2 linked regions of the Nothobranchius furzeri genome follow. The protein of the gene in region 1 binds, or shares a complex with, the protein of each later gene. Links are inferred from orthologs where the notes say so. Each region holds a gene or a part of one and is shown in the gene's direction. Other genes may lie near its edges.

Region 1 (4,375 bases):
TATCTCAGAGAGGGTCACCGGACGGTGTGGGGATGATTAAAACCTGAACTGGCTTAACTGGAGGACTTGAATGATCAATACAGACTTCAAGGCAGAGAGGAAAATTATCTCAGCCTGACCCAAACAAAGTCTTGTTATCCAAATCTGACGCCAAGGCAGCCTTGAGCTGCTGACAACAACCCCCATGAAGGAAGGAATGCAAACAGATGTTGTGAAAACCCGTCCCCCCCCCCCCCCTTCAGATTGTGGACTTCTAGTGAGGTCATCAACCTGCAGGAACTCAAATGTGCTCTGCGCTTCTCCAAGATCTCCCTCCCTCCTGTGGATACAGCTGGCTGAGCGCCACACAGGGCTGCTCGCCCTGGGGAAACAGGATCCCAGCCCCCCCCCCCCCCCCATCGGAGTCTCATGTTGTGAACTGTGATGTTCGTGCTTATATGTTTGAGGCGTTTTTTTTTTTTTTGCATAGTAAAGCTACGCCCTGCCGGGAGTAACTCTGGTGTGCCTTTTTTCCCCTCCCCCAATTTATCCTCATGTAATTCCCTTTTCATCTTTTAAGGTAGCACGACTCGTGTTGCGAATGACCACAGTCACTAATTCTTGTCATGTGTCTTGCCCATGTATGTCTGATCTCTGAATTGTGTGTACTAAAACTCAATTTCATTTCTCTGTATGTCTTGCACATGTGGTAGAATTGACAATAAAACTGACTGTGACTGCTGTTGTCTTTGAGTTAATGGATCTTCCATTCTAGAAGTCTCTGTTCCGTCACAGGGACACACACACGACACAGACAAACAACAACTCTGACCTAACATGCATGTTTTTGGTAGGTGGGAGGAAACCAGAGGTCATAGTCTTTAAATCATAAACGGCCTGTGTTTGATATAGCACCTTCTACAGTGATGGAACCCCCCAAGGCGCTTTACAACACAATCAGTCATTCACCCATTCACACACACACATTCACACCCTGGTGGTGATGAGCTACAGCTGCCCTGGGGCACGCTGACAGAGGTGAGGCTGCTGAGCACAGGCGCCACCGGTCCCTCCGACCACCACCAGCAACAGCAGCAGGTGAGTTGAGTGTCTTGCCCAAGGACACAACAGCAGCAACAAACTGAGCGGGGCTTGAACCTGCAACCTTCCGGTTACGGGTGAGCACCTAACTCCTGTGCCACCGTCGCCCCTACACTGATGTTGTCTTGTCAGTTTTTCATGAATAATCTGTAGTCTGTGTGGTGTGCTTGTTCTGATTCCTAACAGTCGCTCCTTTAAATGATAAAAACACGTATTCCTTTTGTGATGCTGTAAAACCAGTCTTTATTTTAGCCTTTCATGATTACAGTTTTAATAGTTTTTGTTATGAATTAGCCTCCGCAGCACATTTTTATTTTCATATTAAATACTTGAGTTTTAGACGAAAATGAGTCAGAAGAAAAAAAAAAAGCCAAGCGGAACGATTATCTCGGTAAATGTTCCCGCTGTTCAAGGGGAAGTATTTCGGTGTAGAAACAGGACGTTCTCGCGGCTTTCTAACATGGAGGCGAGCACAGAGACGAGTTTTGAAGGAGACTGAATTCACAGTGAGTTTTTCAGCCTGCTGTTGTTAGAGGAACATCCGGTTCAGGCAGCGCGCGACACTAGCTGTCTGCTACAGCATACATAAATGTAACGATGATGTCATTTTACCTGAAACCTAAGTGCCCACCTGGTTGTCTCGTCCTGTTAGCTGTGAGCTAGTCGGAAAGCGCAACGATGAGGTGTTCCCGCAGCCTCCTGCCGCTGCTGCTCCGGTCCGGTAGACCAGCCTCCGGTCAGACCAACCAGAACCACCGTCAGCACCAGGTGAGCTTTTTAACCAGGCAGTGTCGTAAACACGAGCACACCTGGCCCGGGAACAAACCCCTACGGGTTTTAGCGTGTCCTCAGTATGCGAGGTCAACAGAGTGAGATGTTGTCCTCCAGCAGTCTAAACCCATACAGCATAACTAAAGGGATGAGCCAGGGTTACCCAGTATGTCCTCCAGCAGCCTAAACCCATACAGCATAACTAAAGGGATGAGCCAGGGTTACCCAGTACATCCTCCAGCAGTCTAAACCCATACAGCATAACTAAAGGGATGAGCCAGGGTTACCCAGTATGTCCTCCAGCAGTCTAAACCCATACAGCATAACTAAAGGGATGAGCCAGGGTTACCCAGTACATCCTCCAGCAATCTAAACCCATACAGCATAACTAAAGGGATGAGCCAGGGTAACTCAGTATGTCCTCCAGCAGCCTAAACCCATACAGCATAGCTAAAGGGATGAGCCAGGGTTACCCAGTACATCCTCCAGCAGCCTAAACCCATACAGCATAACTAAAGGGATGAGCCAGGGTTACCCAGTACATCCTCCAGCAGCCTAAACCCATACAGCATAACTAAAGGGATGAGCCAGGGTAACTCAGTACGTCCTCCAGCAGCCTAAACCCATACAGCATAACTAAAGGGATGAGCCAGGGTTACCCAGTATGTCCTCCAGCAGCCTAAACCCATACAGCATAACTAAAGGGATGAGCCAGGGTTACCCAGTATGTCCTCCAGCAGCCTAAACCCATACAGCATAACTAAAGGGATGAGCCAGGGTTACCCAGTATGTCCTCCAGCAGCCTAAACCCATACAGCATAGCTAAAGGGATGAGCCAGGGTTACCCAGTATGTCCTCCAGCAGCCTAAACCCATACAGCATAGCTAAAGGGATGAGCCAGGGTTACCCAGTATTTCCAGCAGTCTAAAGCCATACAGCATAACTAAAGGGATGAGCCAGGGTAACTCAGTATGTCCTCCAGCAGTCTAAACCCATACAGCATAACTAAAGGGATGAGCCAGGGTAACTCAGTATGTCCTCCAGCAGTCTAAACCCATACAGCATAACTAAAGGGATGAGCCAGGGTTACCCAGTATGTCCTCCAGCAGTCTAAACCCATACAGCATAACTAAAGGGATGAGCCAGGGTTACCCAGTATGTCCTCCAGCAGTCTAAACCCATACAGCATAACTAAAGGGATGAGCCAGGGTTACCCAGTATGTCCTCCAGCAGTCTAAACCCATACAGCATAACTAAAGGGATGAGCCAGGGTTACCCAGTATGTCCTCCAGCAGTCTAAACCCATACAGCATAACTAAAGGGATGAGCCAGGGTAACTCAGTATGTCCTCCAGCAGCCTAAACCCATACAGCATAACTAAAGGGATGAGCCAGGGTAACTCAGTATGTCCTCCAGCAGTCTAAACCCATACAGCATAGCTAAAGGGATGAGCCAGGGTTACCCAGTATGTCCTCCAGCAGTCTAAACCCATACAGCATAACTAAAGGGATGAGCCAGGGTAACTCAGTATGTCCTCCAGCAGCCTAAACCCATACAGCATAACTAAAGGGATGAGCCAGGGTAACTCAGTATGTCCTTCAGCAGTCTAAACCCATACAGCATAACTAAAGGGATGAGCCAGGGTTACCCAGTATGTCCTCCAGCAGCCTAAACCCATACAGCATAACTAAAGGGATGAGCCAGGGTAACTCAGTATGTCCTCCAGCAGTCTAAACCCATACAGCATAACTAAAGGGATGAGCCAGGGTTACCCAGTATGTCCTCCAGCAGTCTAAACCCATACAGCATAACTAAAGGGATGAGCCAGGGTTACCCAGTATGTCCTCCAGCAGCCTAAACCCATACAGCATAACTAAAGGGATGAGCCAGGGTAACTCAGTATGTCCTTCAGCAGTCTAAACCCATACAGCATAACTAAAGGGATGAGCCAGGGTAACTCAGTATGTCCTCCAGCAGTCTAAACCCATACAGCATAGCTAAAGGGATGAGCCAGGGTTACCCAGTATGTCCTCCAGCAGTCTAAACCCATACAGCATAACTAAAGGGATGAGCCAGGGTAACTCAGTATGTCCTCCAGCAGTCTAAACCCATACAGCATAACTAAAGGGATGAGCCAGGGTAACTCAGTATGTCCTCCAGCAGTCTAAACCCATACAGCATAACTAAAGGGATGAGCCAGGGTTACCCAGTACTTCCTCCAGCAGTCGAAACCCATACAGCATAACTAAAGGGATGAGCCAGGGTAACTCAGTATGTCCTCCAGCAGCCTAAACCCATACAGCATAGCTAAAGGGATGAGCCAGGGTTACCCAGTATGTCCTCCAGCAGTCTAAACCCATACAGCATAACTAAAGGGATGAGCCAGGGTAACCCAGTATGTCCTCCAGCAGTCTAAACCCATACAGCATAACTAAAGGGATGAGCCAGGGTAACTCAGTATGTCCTCCAGCAGTCTAAACCCATACAGCATAACTAAAGGGATGAGCCAGGGTTACCCAGTATG
Region 2 (3,278 bases), on another chromosome or scaffold:
ATTATAAACATTTTGACGTGTGTCGTACACACTTTGGTTTAGTTCATTTGAAAATAAGCACGTTTAGATTTCAATCTCCTTAAATGGTTAGATAGTGCAAATGTAACCTGGGAGAGCTGTATCACACTGTGTGTGTGTGTGTGAGTGTGTGTAAATTGTGTGGGTGCAGCACTGGGCCGATTGGGGGAAGCTCAAGTCATCGTCACTACCTTCATACATGTTGGTTTGGTGAAGACAATTCAACTTCCCCCTGGATTTGAACTGGTCTCCCTGCCCTGTTTTGTAGGCACAACCTGCACAGACCGAGCTTTTATTTGGACTTTTAGCTTTTGCAATCTTTAATAAATTATCTATTTTTGAAGCGATCCGATTCTGTGCTTCATTGCCCACATTAATGCTGGTTGGTCAGACTCACTTCATGTAACATCTTGGGGGCTGATCTGCGGGTGTTACACAAATGTGTATTAAAGTGGAGGTATTACATTTTTAATCAATGACTAACTAAATCTCGCCATTAGAAGAAACAGCCGCTCTAGGTCGTGTGAAGGTTAACGGTTTAACGTCTTCCCTCCCCAGTGTCCCTTCTCACCTCCCGTATGGCTGCTATTGTGTTCTCCGGTGCGTCGTGTCCTCCGCCCCGGTGAGCGATCACAGACACCTTACCGCTGCCCACTGCACGGGAGTCTGGATGCAACACCTGCCGGGCTCGGCTGGTCGTCACCTGCGGGAACCGAAACATGGCTAGAAAGAAGTAGAGGGAAGCGGTGAGGACAGCCGACCACACCGGACTCCGCGTCCCCAGCAGGACCACCACGAGGACAAGTGAGTAGAGGGTGACTTCATCTCCCAGCTGAAGCATTGTAGACGACTTCTTGGGTTCACGAGCGCAGATTTTCTTCAGTTTGACATTTTCTTTCCTGTTAAGCTATTTTTCTTGGTTAAAAACGCGATGTTTCACACACATCCATGCTCCGTGTTATATTCTGACAGCAGCTATTAAGTGGAGCATTAAACCACATCTAAGCCGGAGAAAGCTAGAAACTGCTAGGACGGTTGAGCCGCTGAACGACCAAACGGGAGGACAACATTTCAGGTGGCACGTCGTAACGGCTGTGACCGGATGTTACGTAAAACAGGCGCGACCTTTGTCAAAGTAAACCAATAAAACTAACTCGTTATTTCACGAATCACACATTCAATGACATTTATTCTTCTACACTAAAACAACTGTAAATCCCACTTTGCTGGAGAACATATCTCGGAGGCTTGAAATATATTTCATTAAGTGGGGAAAACATTTTTCGACGGACCGAAACACATCTCGGCGCATCCCCGGATGTGGTTCTAAATAGGTTCGCTACATGCCGTTTGCAGCTCTTATTCAGTGTGAACAATTTCATACATTTTTTAAATTAAAATGTATACTTTACTAATGTTTCTAATGTGAGGAGAGTAAACGAGATCTTTAGGAACACACGGTTGTAACATCCGGGTCACAAAGCTGGACGTCTTCATGCCAAAAGTGGACTTGGGACTATTTTTGACTTTACCTGTGAATTAACCAGTCGTTGGCCATGGTGAGCATCATAGTGAGACTATTAATATTACTGTTATTACAGTGTTATCAAATTCAAAGGAATTGGTGGATCAAATAGATCAAACAATCCTACCCGCGAAATGCCCTTGAGCTTGATTTGATTCAGCTAGGAGATTAATTTGACCTCATTCTGAATAAGGGTTAACAGTTTTAATGTAAAACAGATCGAGACTTTATTCTGCTGTTAATATTTGGCTCAATTAGGTGACTGCATATTGCCTGACTGAATGTCGTATTTAATGTTTTTTTTCCCCCACAGATCAGGTCGATGTTGCTGAGCAGATTAACCCACCACACCCTGTCCTGCACAAGAGGATCATGTTTACTCTCTGGACGAGTGTCTAATGGTTTACAGTCTCATTTTTCAGGTCATACACCCATCCATCAGACCTCCCATGGACCCCTCACTCCTAAAATCACAACCTCCGTCAGATACTCAGACCTATCCACGCAGAAATTCTCTATGATTTACACGCTGCCACACATTAAGCTTCTCAGAGTCGTGTCCAGGCTCAAACTGCTCCAAACTGCAATCACTGCGGTCATCATTCCACCCATGTATTTCCTTTACTTCCAGGGTGACGTGTCCTTCTTTCTAGTATGCTACTCTACGGGGATTGCACTGTTTGCTGGTGTCATGCTGTATACTATGAGTCACTTCTTTAGAAGGGTTGTGGGGATGATGTACCTGGATCCATCCCAGACCACACTCAAAGTTTCTCACCTCACTTTTTGGGGCAAGCGTCAAGACACCTACCTACCCGTGTCAGACGTTTTGACCATCTGGGACACAGGAGACATGGAGAATGAGACCATACTGAAACTGAAGAGATACAGTAGTCCAGAGACAATGTATTTTTCTACTTATTACGGACGCGTTGTTGACAAGCAGGGCTTTGAGAGAGTGTTTGGGAGGCTAAAATAATTCTTCATTCAAAATGTGATCAACTAAATCACTGCTTTCAAGTATTGTAATAAGATCCAACAAATATACAAAAATATCCTGTTTTGAAATAAATGATTCAATTTCAATGTTTTCATTTCTTGATTTAAATAAATGTGACTAATGAGTGTCTGACTCTAGCCTCTTTACCTGGCCAGGTGAGTCGGACAGGTAAATGTTTTGATGTGTTTAATATCTGATGGCTCTGCAGAGTGGATCTATTCCCTTTACTGTTGATCTTATTGGTCCATTAGAGGTCTGAATGTGGTCATAAAACCCCCCTGGAGTTTTAGAGGAATCCTGCAGTTGAGTTTTCTTCCAACCTGATCATCCTGCATGGAAATGTGACTATTGATAAATTTTATTTGGAAAATCTATAATTTTTTGGGTTTCTTAATAGAATTCTATATGTTACAGATAAAAAAACTAATATTGTGAAGCAGACTGATTATGGTCTCGTACACAAGTTATAAAAAATTTAAGTTGACAAATTACAAATATCAGAGACACTGCAGTGAGGCATTTTCAATTAAAACATTTTCAGCTATTTGTAACATACATCTTTAGACAAAAACATCTAATCAGTTCTTCCAATAAACATTCAAATAATTACAAGATAAAATCCATGCATTTGAGTTTCCTGTATAGGAAATTTTCTCCAAACTCATCAGAAACACTTTTCCATTGCAACTCAGTCAAAAAAATAAAGCAAAATTATGCTGCAGATTTAAAATGCAC

What was found. Proteins that work in one complex are often made in the same cells at the same time.
Region 2: ecsit (region 1) and tmem186 share a complex: the UniProt entries of both Homo sapiens proteins name them as parts of the mitochondrial complex. The link is inferred for Nothobranchius furzeri from reciprocal best matches to the Homo sapiens genes ECSIT and TMEM186.

Annotation. Positions count from the first base shown.
Region 1 is NC_091743.1:88,487,441-88,491,815, forward strand, and holds the start of ecsit (evolutionarily conserved signaling intermediate in Toll pathway, mitochondrial), read left to right. Parts: upstream 1-1,470; 5' UTR 1,471-1,586; intron 1,587-1,732; 5' UTR 1,733-1,758; coding exon 1,759-1,848; intron 1,849-4,375.
Region 2 is NC_091744.1:5,453,112-5,456,389, reverse strand, and holds tmem186 (transmembrane protein 186), read left to right. Parts: upstream 1-1,311; 5' UTR 1,312-1,574; coding exon 1,575-1,577; intron 1,578-1,856; coding exon 1,857-2,522; 3' UTR 2,523-2,668; downstream 2,669-3,278. Other genes in the region: gde1 (glycerophosphodiester phosphodiesterase 1), read right to left, coding at 590-859. UniProt on the Homo sapiens protein: As part of the MCIA complex, required for efficient assembly of the mitochondrial complex I.